Linked DNA regions of Arabidopsis thaliana. The protein of the gene in region 2 interacts with the protein of the main gene of each other region in a pairwise test. Each region holds a gene or a part of one and is shown on either strand. Other genes may lie near its edges.

Region 1 (4,927 bases), 2.4 Mb from region 2:
ATGTAAGTCGTTCGACATATTTTAACACACATCTAACATCCCTCATACAATACTAATTCACTTGCTCCTAAATGAAACGCAAAACGACGGTGATGTGTAGGTCATTGTGAGAAATAATTTTGATGAGATTGTTCTTGAAGAATCAAAGAATGTTTTTGATAAATCATTGCAACTTTTGATTTTGTTTTATGAACCGTTGTAGCTTTTAGTTTATTTGATGAACTATTGCAACTTTCGGTATATTTAACATATACGATCGTATCTCTTGGTATAACTTTTCATAATATTGTTTAATTTTTAACCATTAAAACAAATATTGAGATACATTTTGCAACTGTTTCATTAAACTATTGCAATATTTAGTTTACCTGACGAACCATTGTAATTTTCGGTTTATTTTTTGAACTGTTGTAATATTTTTGATATAATAATAGTAATCCGAATAAATGTCTTTTGCAATTGTGTCTTTATAACATAATTTACATAATTTTGTTATTGCTTTCTTAATTTTATTCAGTAATATGCATTTATACGAATTGCAATTTTCTAAGAAAATATAACCGTAAAATATATGTTTTTAGTTTAAAACAGAAAAAATTATTTTAACGAAAAGTTGCAATAACAAAAAAAAACACAATTGTTTACAACTGCAATATTTATTAAGATTGTTATTATTATATAGATTTATATTCTTATCAAAAATAAAATAAAATATGTTAAATTCTAAAGTAAGAACGAGAAAATATTCATCATGTAAAGGGTGTACGTAAACTCGTAAAGATATATACCCTAGAAAACCTTATTCACACCATAATATGAGTAATAGTCAAATATGGTTCTCAATGAGAAACATTGAAAACAAAACAACATAATCATACAAATATAGAACGCAGAAGAGAGCTATTTTGGTTGCTCGTACGAATCAGAGCGTATACCAAACAAGCTAGTACAAAAATACACTTGCCCTTTCTGGTGCGTTCTGTTTTTTACGTTGGAGTAACCATTTAAAGCCTTTTAATACCTCGGACCTCGGACCAGCTTCCTCTCATAGGAATCACTCCGGAAACTACTAACCGAAGTAGACCGTTCGGGTTTGTTGGGGATTGTTGTCGATAGCCACTCAAGTCCTTCGTATAATCCTTGCCCAGAGATAGCTGAGGTTCCTTGTATAAGCCTGCACCAATCACAATCACAAAAATTGTTTTTGTTTATCCCTCTACCTCTAAATATATATATAACCAACACGAGAGGAAGTTTTTAGTATTATTACCAACAACGTTTGGATAGGCTGTGTAGACCAAGTTTGTTGGCAACCTCGGCTACAGGTAAAGCATTTCTCGAATCTTGCTTGTTCGCAAAGACAAGTACACATGCACCTTCTAGTTCATTCTGTGGATTTTTTTTACCAATAAAGAAAGTTGTTAGGGTTAAAAAAAAGAAAAGAGGAGACAATAAGTAACATTTTAAAGTTTCATATGAATTTTACATCGGTTAGTATGCGATGCAGCTCGTTTCGAGCTTCTGATAACCTTTCACTATCGCTGCTGTCCACTACAAAGATGAGCCCCTGCGCGTTCTGGAAATAGTGTCTCCACAATTTGCGAATCTGTTGAACCGGACAGGTCAAGCCTGGAGAGGCAAAGGAAGAGAAATATGTGTTTATATGCACTTATAGAGAAGTAAAATGGAGTTTACCTTCTCTTGTCCTCCTATATCCCATACAGTGAAATTGATGCCTTTGTATTCTACTGTCTCGAGGTTGAAACCTGGAAAATCGCAAAACAACCAAAAACCAAAAAAGGTTAATCATCAATATGAGATTTATCAAGCTATTAAGAATATTCTTCCTCACCAATGCAAACACAATCAAAGGTAAATAAAAATGTAACTATGATCTAGTATCTACACATGAGCTATGATCCACAATAAAGATACACAAAAGTATATATGGTTGGAGCAGTTCTAACTAGCCAAACAAAGTTTCCTTCATAATCCTCAATAAATAGATATATAGAGTGAATCAACATCTTGCTCTAACTTCAGAATCAATAGATAGAAGTCTCAACAGAACCAAAAAAACAAGAGAAGAAAAGTCCATGTCACATACCAATAGTAGGCACTGTTGTGACAACTTCTCCAAGCTTCAACTTGTAAAGGATGGTAGTCTTCCCTGAACCATCAAGACCAACCATCAAAATCCTTACTTTACTTTTAGGAAGAAACCTTTTCGCTATACGTGAAAATCTGGCTCCCATGTAGAACAAAAAACAAAAACAAGGATCTTAGATACAGTGAAAGAAACACAGCTTCTGATATTTCAATTCAAGCTTGGACTTATATGAGATCTATGAAGAGTATTTTACACACATGAGAGAAAAGAAAAAATAACTGAAAGTTTGATTTGCAGATTGTAAAGGCAAGCAAAAAGGCAAAGTCCCATTAGAAGAAAGGCTGGAAAAGAATAAATTCCCTAAGGAAGAGAGGTAATGTTGTGTCCTTTTCCAAACTCGAAAGCTCATTAGGACACAGAGCAGGACTGGTCAGATTCTGTGTTCTGTCTTTCTCATTCTAGAAGCATATATCAGAATCTTATTCCTTGAGTACATCACCAGCGATATGGAATATTATTAGAGGTGCATAGGAAAGACACGAAACTGGAATTGCATAAAGATGGTAAATGGAACAAAATATCAAACCGGATTTTTGATAAGCAATAATAAAACAGAGCATAAGTCTTATTAGAAACAATTAAGTAAGGGAAGATGATCAATTAAAAAAATATTAACTTCTTATTTTCATTAGAAATAAATCATTAGAATAAAAAAACCAATACATATGATTTCATTAGAAACTGATATGCAAAAAACTTGAGTATATAAATTTTTAATCTAAATTTTGTATGATAATTTTTAAAATTCAAAATTGAAATTTTAGTAAAACTTTAATGAAATAAGAAATTAATATTTTTAATTAATAATATAAATAACTATTAATTAAAAAAATAACTTCTTAAAAAAAATTACACTCTTAATTTAGTTTTGAAATTGAAAAACAAACTATTATAAGAATTAATGCATTCAATATATATACAAAATATATTTATATTGGATATAGATTTTATTATTATTATACAACACAATATATATTTTTTTAATATTAAAAGTAAATTGAAATATTATTTTTGAATATTTTTGTTGGTCAACGTCGGAATCAGTCCAGCGGTTAACCTGAGATTCTCCATTTATAATGTTGATCATATAACATCGTATACTTCGTATATATTGTCATTCAATCCATATACTTCAGTTAGCTGAATATCCTAGTATACTTGGCATTGATGGCCATGTGGTTTGCTAAACTTCAGGTAGTTGACAATTTTTTTTCAAATTAATATCAACAAATCATTCATTTAGTTAATTTATTTCATATCCAAAAAATGTTGAGATTTCTCTTTTTTTTTTTTTGTTAAAGAAAATGTTGAGATTTCTCCTATGAATATATACGGAAAGCTTAAGTTTATTCACATAATGTCAGAATTAACTGGAAATCGTTTTACTTGAAGTGACTAAAATTATTTGAGAGTTTTTAAGTTCAACTGTTTTACATTTATTTACTTGTTTTATCATCTTTACGATATATATTTATAAGAAAAAATCAGGTAGAGGTGTGCTAGTGTATATGAAAACCAGAAGTGGCTTAAGAAAAATAAAACCAATACATAAGATAAAACTTTCAAAGTAATTAACATCGGTTTGAAAAAAAAAAAAAAAAAAAAAGACGAGAGCAACAAACAAAATAAAGTTTCCTTTTATCCCACATTCAAAGCTTTATTTAGATGAAAGGAAGTCATAAGAAAAATGAAATATTAATTAAGAACACAAAGATCAAAGATTCTTAGATTGATTTCATATAAGAGAAAAGGAGAGTTGCTAGGAATCTAAACTTAAATGAATCTAAACTTGCTATTAAATCCTAAGATACATGGGTTTGTAGGCTTTGAGAGTATATTTAGTAACTTCAGGCTTATCATGCGACAATATCTGCGCTTCTTAGATATGCTCTAACAAAAGATACCATGATACTTTTATCCCGAAACAAAAAGAAAAAAACGAACAACAATTCAAATGACACAAAGTAATCCATTTACATTGCAACAAATATATGATATCTTTTTAAGAATAAAGTAAACAACTAAACAAACATTTTCTCTAGCACTTGCACCACTTCCTTCATAGACGGTCGCTTTTGAGGCAAGGAGGAGACACATTCATAGCCTAACTTCAAGCATGCGACCGCCTCATCCTCGCGGTGAGCCACCTCAACCCTAATTTCCCCATCGACCAACTTCAAGAACCAACTTTTCTCATCAGTCTCAGAATCGCGAACCAAATCTCGATCGACCGAAAAAACTATGCCTGTGAGAAGTTCCAAGAGTATAACACCAAATGAATATACATCCCATTTGGGGTTTGGCTTCTGGCTTGTCGACCACTCTGGTGGTTGGTCTTGTAAGCTCGACAATGGCCCGTCCGTGAGTAAATGGGCCGAAGTCATAATACGATCAAGGCCCATATCTGTAATTACAGGCTCAAACTCGGAGTCCAAGAGAATGTTATTGGCCTTGATGTTGCCGTGCACATGCTTCTTGTCGTGGATATAAGCAATTCCTCTAGCTATTCCTCTTGCTAACTTGAGCCGTGCCTCAAAGGAGAGAGGTTTATGAGAAAACGAGCTTGATTTTGCTGTTTTCATATCAAACAAAATTAATGTCAAAATATCAAGATTCGTAAAATAGTTTGTTTGTTAAGAGCAATGGGCTAACATGCGCTGACTAGTAGTGCGTATTCTAGCAAATATTAAGTAACGTACGCCGTTTGTAGAAACTTACCGGAGATGGAGGATAGAGGTAGGTTTCCATTTGGGACAT
Region 2 (3,784 bases):
TAAATTAAATTTTGTAAAAAAAAATGTATTTTTATTTGGAAAAAATAATTGTTGTTAGCAATAAATTAATAGATACTATAAATGATTGTAAGTTTGTTTAGAAATTAAATTTACCACATTTGGCTAAAAATTGGGTAAATCACCATAACAGTATTCTATATAAGTAATTTATCTTAGACCAATTATGTAGCGACAAATGTACATTAGTAGATTTACTTCCTTGTTTTTTTGGGGCCACCTTTCGGCCACTTGATAAGTAAAATTTCTTTCTATTTGGGCCAAAGTAACTTCTTATTGTAGAACCGGTAACGAAATTGACTCAAACAACCCATGAGACTCACACATATTATTCCTCGCTGAACTGACACGTGGCATTATTTCAAAGAAGTAGAGATTTTTACCTTGAATGTAAAGATTTTTTATTTTAGTTTTTCCAAAACTCTACTTTATAGCAATTCAAAATTTTGCAAAAAATACTTTCCCTAAAAAACAGAGGATCTAGTATTTTACTTGGGTTGTTACAAAATTTCAAAGAAAAACCAAAACCCATTGTAAGACTTTTTCATCTTTTGCTTTTAACTAACAATATATAGTACATCAATATATATATATATATATATATATATATATATATATATATATATATATATTGAACTCAGCTCATAAGAGGGGAAAAAAGAAAGAAAGATGTAATTCGAATTTTTGAAGATCATTGGTCGTTGGATTATTGGAAAAGATAAAATGCTGAATAACAAACATATCACAAAAGAGATTATTAGATTCTTGAATCGATCTGATAGCTAACCACATCAAAGTTATTTTTTTGAATGAACCACACTAAGTTTTAATTTGCTAACGAGTTCGACATGATCTTACTTCGCCGTGAGACGGGAATGACACTGCGCGTTTTATCCTCGGCATCTTCTTGTCATCCGGAGCAACCACAACGGCTAAACTTTGGCAGCTGTTTTTCACCGTTTCTTCAGTTCGTTTAGTCGTCTCGGTACTCTGATTCTGCACCACACACGGTTCTTTGCTTGGAGTTGAATCCACAATCTGATCTGAGCCGCGCCTGACGAGAATATGAAGACCGATCAAGATGACAAGAGGAAGACACATCAAGAACAATGCATAGTAGATGATCCACCCGAATCCCGTGTGACTCTTTCCGTGACAGATCCACTCAATGACTAAAGCCATTCCTGAGGTGAATGTAGTCAAGCTGCTTAGGACAAAAACTTTGACAATCCCCGGATTCGGAATTTGCAAGAAGGCTCTTGCGGCGCCAAGAAACCATATCTCTTGTGACCGTTGATGCGTCTCCACATGCGCCACTGTGGCTTTCTCCATCATTTTGTTGTTGTTTATGCTTACTTTGTGTTTTATTTTTTGTTCTCTCCTCTCGGTATAAAAAGAAACTAACAAGTGAAAGAAAAAAGGGGTAACAGATTTTGCTATCAAAGGGGTAACAGATTTTGATTTTTAACTGTTACGATTTTATTTTATTTTTTGAGGTCAAAACACAGATTTTTTATGCAAACCATTTTTGCCCATCCAAAAGATACACATAACAATGGTTTTACCATACACAACAAAGAACAAACTATGGACAATAAAGACAAAGACAACACCTAATCTTAAGAAGACGAGAGAAACATACTTGGACTGTGTAAACAACAGAGGCTACTTGATAGTGATGTAGCGGTTTGTCCCGTGCCTAGCCCAATAGTCTTTAAGATCAACAGGACACGAGAGATCATATCCTTCTGCTGATAAACGGCTGAGTAATCTCGAGAAAACGTTTCCGCTCATTTTCCTACCGCCCATCCGAGAATGCCTCTTGTTTGGCATCTGCGGTAATGGATACTGGGATAAGGTGGTTGTGCAGCAAGACGATTGCCAGCCGCCATTTCCCCATTTGTAACACTGACGCGTAGAGCCTGTGCACGAACACATGGGTACAGGCATTGTCGTCTCATCGAAGGTGACTAAGTTCAAACCGACATCTTGACTGTCCCAATCTGTTCTAGATTTCTTTCCAGGAGCAGGAACTCGACGGTTCAGATCTTCACCCACTTTTTTCACCTTTGATAGTCCCTGCTTGTTCTCTTTCTTCCTTTTGTTCACCACCTTCGTGTTTGTAACCTCAGGCGGAATAGTTGACAAAGGGAAGACTTCAAGTTTGTGGGGTTCCCCAATACCAAAACAATCATCTCCATCAACACACTTCCCACCAGACAAAGCAAAGTTGAGACTATTTTCATGGTGTTGAAGAGCAGCATAAGCATTATCTCTCTCTATCAAAGCTTTATCTCTCTCAGAAAGAGCTTTGTCACGTTGCTGAAGCGCTTCGTCCCGAGCAGCGACAGCTTCCTTTTTAGCAGAGACAGCTTGATTTCTTTCATGTACAGCAGCGTCTCTCTCAGCAAGGATGGACATGATCTTCTTATTCATCACCAACGCATTATGTTGTTCCTTAATCTGATGCTGGGGAATCATATTCCACTGTAACAAACATTCTTTGCTTATATAACTTCAATCACACTAACAAAAACATATCTTTAGGAAACCAAAAATCTTAAGTCTTACCATAGATTGTGCACCTTTGAAGTAATCGGGCTTGAACCGCGCATTATCATACTGACCACCATTCTCCATAACTCTTATAATCTTCAAACAGTGAAACACCGAACCAATCAAGCTTCTCCTCCAAACACACTCAGCAACAGTGAAACCAAATTTCAAACATTGTGATTCGATCTATGAAAACAATTGAAGAGTAAGAATTACAAGCAGATATTAGCACACTGAACTCGCAATTCACTATCTTCAAACAAAATCAAAACTTCTCGAATTGATCTGCCAGTTAGGGTTCCGCAATTGATTCAGATACCAAAATCAATCTGAGCTAGTCAGAGAAACAGGTCTTAAGGAACAATTTTACGAAAATTGGAATAAATTAGGTCAAGATCAAAAAGGTCGAATCAATCTAAACCTTCCATGACAAGAGATTATTCCGCGAAACAATAGAAAACAAGGGTGAAACTGAAATTATAAACCCTAGAGATACAACACATTCAAAATTGATTAACAAATAAATTAAAGAGAGGAAAAGGCGCGAAAGCTTACGAATTCGATGAGCTTCTGGAAAAAATCTGGGCAAAATGGATAATTGATCGAGAAGAAAGATCCAAAGGGTAGAGAGAGAGAGAGATAGTGTCTCTGTCCGCGAAGAAGCTCAATGTACTTACTTCGTCATTTACCAAATTACCCTCTTCTCTACTACTAAACAAGAGAAATCAAGGGTATACTCGTCTTTTTAAATATCCTCTTTCAGTTACAATAATGATTCATTGTGGATTTAAGCATATAAATAGAGAAGAGAGAAATCTATATCACTTTCCATCAATGTGTGATATTGTAGTACTTAAGAAATCATAATCTGTTTAACAACATGAGTTTATGTATGAAAGATAGGCTCACAAACATTTGAGAATGTTTCAGGTAAAGCTATGGCTTCTTCTCGTTGTTTATCTTCTTAAGCTTCATTTATTCATGTAGATAGAGAGAGTGTGATCAAGCGTAGAGATCAATGTTCCAAAACTTGGCTGGTTGGTTCGTGCGGTATTTCCTCTCCATGCTTTTGATCACTTCCATGTCCTCTTTCGATAGTTCGAAGTCGAAAACCTGAAAGTTCTCTTCCAATCTCGCAGGCTTTGATGTCTTTGGTATCACCACCGTTTTTCTCTGGATTCCCCACCTCAGGACAACTTGTGCCACTGTC
Region 3 (4,112 bases), on a different chromosome or scaffold from region 2:
ATGTTTTTCCATCTGAATTCGTCTGTTACTTCATACAATGTTATTAGTGTTTACTGTTTTCGATTTTCTGAATATAGCTTGTATATTTTTGGTTACTAGGCTCCACGGAGAAGCACATCGAGTGAGAAGTTGCCAAGCAAACAGGAGAGGGCTAATGTATTTGCAAGATCATCGAAGGAGCACAATAAGATACAGTCAACCAAGAAAGTCGAGCCAACTGCAGTGTTGGACACCAAAGATAAAACGAGTAGGCCTAAATCTACATCTGTCGAGAAGAAATCTGTTGCAGAGAATGGATTGCCTGGGAATTTGGTCAAAGTCTCTGTTAATGGTAAAAGATTAGCGGCGGCCAATATCCAATGGAGTTCACTCCCTCCATCTCTTTCGAGGATGGGACAGGTATGGCCTTGACTGCTCTTGGATCCTTATATGTGCTTGCTTCATTAATAGGCTTTGAAGCATTTCTAGTGATTAAGAAAATTCATCTTCAAAACAAGCAGTTTAGAAATTCGATCATCCAAACTAACATATTTACTCTGGTGATTGAAGAGAACCTCTTAGTATAGCATATGCATCTTATGTTTTGGTCTTTGACATCGTGATTAAATATTAAGACAGCTTATTGAGTCATTGCTGCTATCAATATTTGCAGGAAGTATTGAGGCATAGAGAAGCTGCTCAAGTAGTCGCAATAGAGGCCCTGCAAGAAGCCTCTGCTTCCGAGAGCTTACTTCAGTGCCTCATGTGCGTAATATCTTAACCAAGTTTTATTCAGGCCGGCTTTGGATGTTTGAGGGACAAAACATAAATGTTTTTTGTATCTGAATGTTATTGTTACTGCCTTGGTGGTTTCTGAACTTTGTTCTGCTTTTCCTTTTTGTAGTATGTACTCCGATCTTTTGTCAACGGCGAAGGAAGATGATCCATTGCCAGTCGTTGAGCAGTTCTTGAAGCTCCATTCCGGTTTGAAAAACGTCCAAGTAATAACAGAGTCATTGTCCAAATTACTCTCTTTGATGTCCTCCCCAGATAATGAAGAAAACAGATCCGAGGAAGCTATAAAAGCGGCATCGGAAAAGCAGAAATTGGCAGCCTCATGGGTCCAAGCTGCGTTAGTCACTAACTTATCGCCCTTCTCTGTCTACTCCAGCAAACAAGCCAAACTTGCTGCCTCCAGGAGCAAACCCGTGATCATACTCGAGAGCCCGGGTAATAATTCCTCTAGTAAAACCCGTGGGAATATTCAAAACAAGCCAACGATTGGATCTAAACTCGTAGCACAAGGAATGATCCGTAAACACAGGGAGAACAGTAGCAGCCAGAAAGCCACCTCGGTAGCAGGGTCAGAGTCTCCACCGTTAAACTGGGTGAAAGGGAATGGTCTAAACGAGGCAACTGATCTGGCAGAGAAGTTGCAAATGGTTTCACAAGATTGGTTTTTGGGTTTCGTAGAGAGATTCTTAGACGCTGACGTGATTACATCATCCAGTCTCAGTCTGTCTGATAATGGGCAGATTGCGGGGATGCTGTCTCAGCTGAAGAGTGTGAATGATTGGTTAGACGAGATTGGATCGAAAGAGGATGAAGAAGGGTTACAAGAAGTCTCTAAGGAAACAATCGATCGATTACGGAAGAAGATCTACGAGTATCTGCTCACACATGTGGAGTCAGCAGCTGCAGCACTTGGTGGTGGTGGTGGCTCAGTCTCTTCTCCTAGACCTAAACCAATCGAAACCAAAGCAAAGAGATAAATGATGATGAAGAAGCTTCTACTTGTTTTTTTTTTTTCTTGTATATATGAAAATTGGCGGTCAATTTCTTCTGTATAATTCAGGCATCACTAAGAAGCCTACCGACGTGAAATGTTGGTATTTTTTATTCAGTCAGATACTCACTAAAGAGAACCTATTGGTTCGAAAGATTTCAACATATTTTTTATCCATTAATAACGATATCTCTTCTCTAGCGATTAAAGATTAGAAGATCAGCAAAAACAAAAATATCATTAGAAGACTTAGATCCATCACAATTCTGTAATTTTACAAAAACTATGACGATTCATGATTATGTGGAAATAGAGGCGATCGGTAAAAGTTGATTTGTTTATGGTTTATTTGTAATAATAAAAAAACTACAAGGTCCCAAAAGAAAATAATAATCACCGAACAAGTCCCTCCCATCATCCCATATTCCACATGGACTCTTTGAAATCCAAGGTTTTGCCATTTGACCACAGATTTGTGTTATTTTCAAACACAAAATCAACCAATTCCGATGAATCAGAAACCTCCGCCGTACGGTTATGGCGGCGCTGGTGGTGGAGGAGTCGGTCCTTCTTCCACTTCCAACACCACAATCATCGGGACGTTGAGTGCACGCGCCAAGCAGACGACGCAATCGATGATCACGACGCTCCGTCCATGGCGAGAGATTCTCGATCTGTCCGCGCTCTCTCTCCCTCGCGGGTATGATGAAGCCATGGCGCATCTAAAGCACAACATCTCTTATTTCCGTGGAAATTACGCTCTCGCCGTTCTCGCCATTGTTTTCCTCGGCCTTATTTACCATCCGATGTCTATGATCGCTTTCATCGTCGTCTTCATCGGATGGATTCTTCTCTATTTCTCTCGAGACGCAAACGATTCGATTGTGATTTCGGGGAAAGAAGTAGATGACAAGATCGTGCTGGTTTTACTCAGCTTGGTAACGGTTTTGGCATTGGTATATACAGATGTGGGCGAAAACGTTCTGGTTTCGCTGATCATTGGTTTGCTCATCGTCGGAGCTCACGGCGCTTTTCGTAATACCGATGATTTGTTTCTTGATGAAGAAAGTGCTCGCCGTGGTGGCCTGGTGTCTGCCGGTTCTGGTAACCGGCCACCGTCGAGTTATACCCCAATTTGAGTAAACCGGTTTGGAGAATTACTCGTAATTTCTTGGGTTTTTGATTGAAGAAGCTAAGGGAATCAATTTAGGGCTTTGTATTTTGGATTTCCCAAAGATTCTTGTATTTATATTTTGGCGTGTGTGTTTCATTTTGTTTGAATGTATACAAATTCTGGGAAAAAACAAATTGGTGTTATGGTATTTTATAGAATTGCCAAAAACATAATTTCCGATAGAAAAAGAAAAGTATGCATTAACCAGATGAAATTTCATAATGAACAAAACCAGTATGTTAAATTCAAGAATCCTTTGGTCTACACTCACAGTAGAATCATAAACTGATGCAATAGAAGAAAAACAAAGTTGGGAATAACTACTAACTAGTCTTCTTCAAGATTGATAGAATCTTTGAACTTAGCATACAATACCTTCTTCAGCGCTGCCATTTGTGTTACAATTGATTCCTTCTCTTGCTCGAGTTTCTCAAGGCTTTTGCAGGTCGCTTCTTTCATCTCTTCTATCTTTGTTTCTACGTCGTCCCTCGGCACATGAGCAAACACTTCTCCTATTTGAAAACGCACCATCTCCTCATCAGCAAGGATCAACTCGTTCCCTGCATCCTCTAGATTTTCACACTTTTCCTGCATAAATCAATTGTTTTTTAATCAAGCTAGATGCAGAAACACACAGTAGAATGCTGTTTTAATCCCCCTAATGAAACGATTGAACAAGACAAGTATCCACTTATTATTGCAAAGTCCCACATCTCCCTTTTTGTTTCCTACACATGCTGAACTATCAACACCATTACAATATCTAATTACAGTGATCTGATATACCCTAGCAGGCTTATATTCACCAACGAAGGAGAAAGTTAAGGGAGCAGTGATATGTAAGAGTGCACGGATGGTATAAGCAGGTTACAGTAGATTGGTACAACCTAAAGAGAATGTAAAATGAGATATGAGAGTATAGAGATTCTCTTGTGGGGTTATCTGAATGAAGTAAAATTACAATTTACAACAATCAATAAAATCAGGAATTATCTCAAATAATCTTAATCATGATCCTACACTAGACCAACAACACTTATCATATACTCTCAGGATCATTGTAATTAGCTTTTGTATCGGGTTGTAGCAGTGCTGATTTCATTTCATCAACAAGGAGTTAATCAGTTAGCTGAGAGCAAACCGATGTGTAGTAGATTCATTATTTGGTGAATT
Region 4 (4,961 bases), on a different chromosome or scaffold from region 2:
AGAGTCGGAGTAATCCTGCCAAAAAGTCACAATATTTTTTAAAAGAGCCATACCACAGCAATGATGATAACAAGATCATCCCAATGCTTCTCATCTGCCAGTTGAACTGCAACGCTGTCACTTCCATCTTCTTTGCTTCCCATTGTCCACTTGACAAATCCACCAAATAAACTCCGGCAAGCACTTCCTGAACCTTGCCTACATGAGCAAACAGAAATCAAACCATGAATATCAGTACCATTTAATTCCTAGAGGAGTGTCAGATTTCACTTCACTATCACAACTCATGCATTAGTAGATGACTATACATAAATCAAAGCATTGATATATAGTGCAAGGAAGTCCACTACATAGGTACCTGGCTATTGCAGAAAGATGGCTTGGATCTTCATCTACATTCATCAACTTTGCAAGAGAAAAAACTGTAGGCAAAAAAAACAGTTTGACATAAACTACAAGCCATTCTCAAGCTCATAATCATCAACAGAGAGAAAAAGCAGAATACCTAGACAAGCAAATCCAGCAGCTGAAGATGCTAAGCCAGCAGCAGTAGGGAAGTTATTATGAGAAGCAATATGTAGATTCAATTTCTCCCAATCTTTCTTCCTTATCTTGATCCCCTTTTCCATGTCTTCAACATCACCAGCACGACCTCGTATTTCCCTCAAACAATTTTGGTACCTACTTCCAGAAAGAGATATTTCCTACACTAACATGAAACAACAACAACAACAAAAATCTTTGTAATTCGATAATTGGAATCTCAGCAAAAGGAGAGAGATCGTGATGGGAAATGAAGCGAGTGTACCTTGCCATTGAGCCACATTCGATCCCGATCAAAAGCAGGACTAACGGCAACAGTGGTGACTGTGCAGAGATGATCAGGATCAAGAGTTACGCTAATGCTATCGTTAACGGGGAGAATCCGAACCTCATCTCTCTTTCCCCAATACTTAATCACCGCAATGTTCGTCGGAGTTTGCGCCGTCACCATGAACACCCATTTCTCCGTCGCCATGTGAATCTCCAAAAGAGATCTGCAGCTTCAAAGTAGTTGAAAATGAAAGCGACGGAGAATACGACAGAATAATGATGACTCATTGCCTTTACAATTTTAAAAATATTATTTTATTCAAAAATTGAGAACTTCACTAACTGTAAAACTCTAATCAAATGGTTATTGCCATTTTGATGAAAACACCAAAACTTAACCTAAAACGTTTTAGGAAAAAAATTGAGTTAGGTAAGAAATAACCAAAACACGAAAATCATTGTGATGCATGAACTTTATGCTTAAAGGCCTTTGAGTTGTCTTGTCTTTGATATTGGGATATTTGTTAGCTGGGAAAGGATATGTAATATATAAACCACTGATTCATATAAGTAACACCATTGTTCATGAGTAAAAACAGACTCTTATTATAGCTCATACAGCATTGGTTAAGATAATTGAAGAAAGCATCTCATTCCAAATATCCGGGACACCGGGCAAGCACCAATGACTGCAATCTGATGAAGGTCCAGCGATACGATGGTGCTTCTCTTCCTCGTGCATTGCTCTCTTGAACACCGAAGGATGACCGTCTCTTCTATACGCAGACATTGTTGTGATATCGTATAAATACACTCGGTATTTCATTGTCCTTAGCACTTTGTTCAACACTCTTGACTGTTGAGGCACGTGGGGTTTGGTGGAAGAAGATAAAGAAGGCAAGGGATGTTTCTGGTTGTAGCACATCTGACCACTCTCTCTGCCAAGAATTTATGTACATGAATTAATGGTGTCCATTTTGTATATATGTTGAGATTAAGAGGAGAATATAAGAAAAAACCTCGGTGAGACAGTGCGGAAAATGACTTTTGTTTTGGATGGATCAAGATTTATCTCAACCCATTTAGCCCATGTGGTTAGTCCTCTCTCATAAGCAACCATTGGGTCCATAGCTTTGAAGATCTTATTCCCATCCATGTAATAATCCCACCTAAAACATCAATAGCTTGCGTTACTGTCACAAATCCCAAATCTGATGTAAAATGAGACACAATAACAAATACAATGAACATAGACGTCTATGAACCGTTATACACTAATCATTTGCTTTTGAAGGAAAGATGTAAGTGTTTATTCAGATGACTTACGAACTCCATCTCTGAGAGTGAGTCCACCAGTGAGCGGAATCGAATACAAGAACATCTACACCACGCCAATATCTAGCATTGTCTTCGATTGAGTCCAAATGTAACACCCTTTTACGGTCAACTCCTCTCTTGAGTTCCACAAGCAGAGGAGCCCAACAAAACTCAATTGATGTCTCAAAATCCTGTATAGTAACCAAATTTAATAGTTGCATCTACTAACCAATGATGTATATGTGATTCAAAAGGAGATTTGTGATTATTAATTACCAGAGAATGGAAAGACATCGTAGGACCATTGTAAGTGAGCTTCTTACGATGAGTGGGAAGAACAGACTGTACTAAGCAGACAAGAGATTCCCACTGGTTTCTCATCATTGAATCTCCAACCAGCATTATTCTTTTTCCTCTCATTTTCCCAAGAAATTTCAATGCGTCAAACCTAAACACCATCATGGAAAGAGCCACTATTTTGGTTAATATTAATGTCTCTTTCCCATTTTTCATTAGTCAATTTATTCATCTTGCAATTAACCATGCAAAGCCAATATAAACCAACTTTTTTACTTGATGAGACAGAAATTTTAAAAAGAAGTAATGTAAGAAGTAAGAGGAGTGTGGAGTGTGCCTTGGTAGTGAACAAGCCTTAGGGATCCATCTCCATTTCTGGTAATAAGAGTCGGGTCTTCCATTTCTTTGGCAACTTAGTGCAGAACTCAGATATGGACAGCTTGAATCATAGAGCGGATACGTTTCATCGAACGTCCATTTCCCCACCGAGTAATCACACCTCTCCTCTCTTCTTTCACGCCTCGTCTGCAAGGCGTTGAGTGGATCATCGTCCCCTACTAGCCATAACTCATCAAACTGAGACAAAACTACTTTGCCAAGGATGAGACACAAAGATAAGAACAAGACTCGAGTCTCTGAGGTAGCCATTTGACCAGGAAACTGAGCAGTGTGGGCTTGGAGAAAGAAATAATATAAAGAAGATGGGCAACAAAAAGTGGATAAAGTGAAAAAGGGCGTTAATTACGGAAAGTGGTGGTAATTAGTAATTAGACTTATGCTTGAAATCATGTCCCGTGACTTGCGTCTCCTCTTCTCTCCATCATATCATTTTTTTATAAAAACAGATTACAGTATCCAAGGCGGGATTTGTGAGTTTGGTGGAGCGTTTTGTATATGGTTTAAAAAATCGAAATAGTTTCTCAACAAAAACAAACAGAAATAGTAGAAAACAATCCATATAAACCAGAAAAAAGAATTGCAAATCAAACACAATGGTAGGTTTTGTAAGACTAAAGAAATGTAGGTTTTGTTGTAGAGACCCAAAACTCTCCCTGCCCTCAAAAGGTCATGAACAGACCAAATTCAGGACCCAACCTTCCTTATTAATAGTTTTAAGTTAACCCAAATATGTAAAAAAGTATTAATGAAACGAAACCAAGACATGGCAACACCTTCTTCAGCTTTTAGTATCCTTCATGCTTTATCAAACTCACACCATCCCCAAACAAACATAACACAAAACAAACACTATGCTCTTTGGTTAGCTTCTGTCCCAAACAGATGTCATCTTTAGTATGTCAGTCGAGATTAAGATAATCCTTTAGAAAATCCATTTTTCTTGATCATCTGAAGAAGATTCATCTAACCATGATTGGTGGATGTGCATCCACGTCAGCCTTTGCTTTTCCTCCTTTCAATTTTAACCCATTTTCAGTTATTTTTTTCCAATATTATTTAACCAATCTAATCGTTTGAAATCTTAAAAGGATCATAAATCAAGGTTTACCTTATAACTCAGTAAGACTTTTGTTGAACAAGACCGTACTTTTCCCTCTGTAAACACGAGCTAGACATTAGAACATGGAAGCAAACTTCTACAGTATACCCTTATGATGAGAAATCAAACAAATCAGTTGATCGTATTTTCTGCTAAATCATTTCCTAGCTCGATAAGTCACAAGTATAAGCCATGTAATTGAAGAACAAGATTTCTTACCAGATAACTCATGCTTTACAAATTTTGCAAGCCATGTATCTGAACTGATATGAGAAGACGTAACATTATCCAACCAAATGCGAAACTTCTTTTCCTTCCCATCACCGTATAAATTTTCCATCTCATCTATCCATTCATGTATCGGTTTCTCCACTCCAGACGGATGAACAAAAATACCAAGTGGACTCTGAAACATTGCAAAAGCATAACAATTACGTCAACTAATAAGTCTACACAACACAAGCAATCAAGAACATCTTCAAAATTATCAATTTGAGCACTTGAATTTCCATTACGTTAGATGCTAGAGAGCTTTTTTTTGTCAAATAAACACACTTACAGAGAGCGATTTCAAATTCTGCAAGTACTTGTCAGACTTTTCCACCTCTCCACAACGCCATCTCTCATAAAACAAATAAAACTGAACAACCTCATGAGCAGGATTCAAACTTTCCCCATGGAAATTTTCAGTGTCCATAACATCTCTAGGAGAGACATTTGGTCCCAAATTAAACCTCTGAATAGCTTCTATCATACCAGCTCCACACCTCTCAGACGCATGAAATATTTTTGGGTTGTCCTTTGCATTTTCTTCATACCATTGCAATAATTCTTCATGCGAATTGCTAACCTTAAACAGTAAAAATATAAGCACAATCACTCACGCGTAGTCAAGTATGATCGAACCTAAAAAAAAGTAGTTGGGAACTAACCATTACGCCATATACGTCAGAAATGTTGAAAAGCTCAGCATCATTTCCAGAGTCACCACAAACAAGTGTGTTAGAAGGCTGCTTGCCTTCAATATCCAACTTGT

Evidence for each region.
Region 1: the proteins of AT2G21237 (region 2) and ARFB1A interact in a protein complementation assay, tested with the Arabidopsis thaliana proteins (one large-scale study listed by BioGRID).
Region 3: the proteins of AT2G21237 (region 2) and PRA1.E interact in a protein complementation assay, tested with the Arabidopsis thaliana proteins (one large-scale study listed by BioGRID).
Region 4: the proteins of AT2G21237 (region 2) and TBL36 interact in a protein complementation assay, tested with the Arabidopsis thaliana proteins (one large-scale study listed by BioGRID).

The regions. Positions count from the first base shown.
Region 1 is NC_003071.7:6,651,275-6,656,201, reverse strand, and holds ARFB1A (ADP-ribosylation factor B1A), read right to left. Parts: upstream 2,540-4,927; 5' UTR 2,256-2,539; coding exon 2,108-2,255; intron 1,767-2,107; coding exon 1,696-1,766; intron 1,607-1,695; coding exon 1,487-1,606; intron 1,390-1,486; coding exon 1,271-1,389; intron 1,175-1,270; coding exon 1,015-1,174; 3' UTR 701-1,014; downstream 1-700. Other genes in the region: AT2G15300 (Leucine-rich repeat protein kinase family protein), read right to left, coding at 4,192-4,742, 4,889-4,927. UniProt on the Arabidopsis thaliana protein: GTP-binding protein involved in protein trafficking; may modulate vesicle budding and uncoating within the Golgi apparatus.
Region 2 is NC_003071.7:9,099,832-9,103,615, forward strand, and holds AT2G21237 (uncharacterized protein), read right to left. Parts: upstream 1,385-3,784; 5' UTR 1,354-1,384; coding exon 853-1,353; 3' UTR 705-852; downstream 1-704. Other genes in the region: BPC4 (basic pentacysteine 4), read right to left, coding at 1,684-2,505, 2,590-2,658; AT2G21250 (NAD(P)-linked oxidoreductase superfamily protein), read right to left, coding at 3,577-3,784.
Region 3 is NC_003070.9:2,806,659-2,810,770, forward strand, and holds PRA1.E (prenylated RAB acceptor 1.E), read left to right. Parts: upstream 1-2,101; 5' UTR 2,102-2,274; coding exon 2,275-2,904; 3' UTR 2,905-3,117; downstream 3,118-4,112. Other genes in the region: AT1G08760 (GPI-anchored adhesin-like protein, putative (DUF936)), read left to right, coding at 100-399, 653-744, 884-1,751; AIP3 (ABI3-interacting protein 3), read right to left, coding at 3,267-3,527. UniProt on the Arabidopsis thaliana protein: May be involved in both secretory and endocytic intracellular trafficking in the endosomal/prevacuolar compartments.
Region 4 is NC_003074.8:20,083,671-20,088,631, forward strand, and holds TBL36 (TRICHOME BIREFRINGENCE-LIKE 36), read right to left. Parts: upstream 3,298-4,961; 5' UTR 3,076-3,297; coding exon 2,765-3,075; intron 2,579-2,764; coding exon 2,407-2,578; intron 2,322-2,406; coding exon 2,140-2,321; intron 1,983-2,139; coding exon 1,833-1,982; intron 1,752-1,832; coding exon 1,427-1,751; 3' UTR 1,301-1,426; downstream 1-1,300. Other genes in the region: AT3G54250 (GHMP kinase family protein), read right to left, coding at 54-198, 359-422, 506-704, 809-1,018; AT3G54270 (sucrose-6F-phosphate phosphohydrolase family protein), read right to left, coding at 3,749-3,838, 3,935-3,981, 4,145-4,331, 4,485-4,775, 4,858-4,961. UniProt on the Arabidopsis thaliana protein: May act as a bridging protein that binds pectin and other cell wall polysaccharides. Probably involved in maintaining esterification of pectins. May be involved in the specific O-acetylation of cell wall polymers.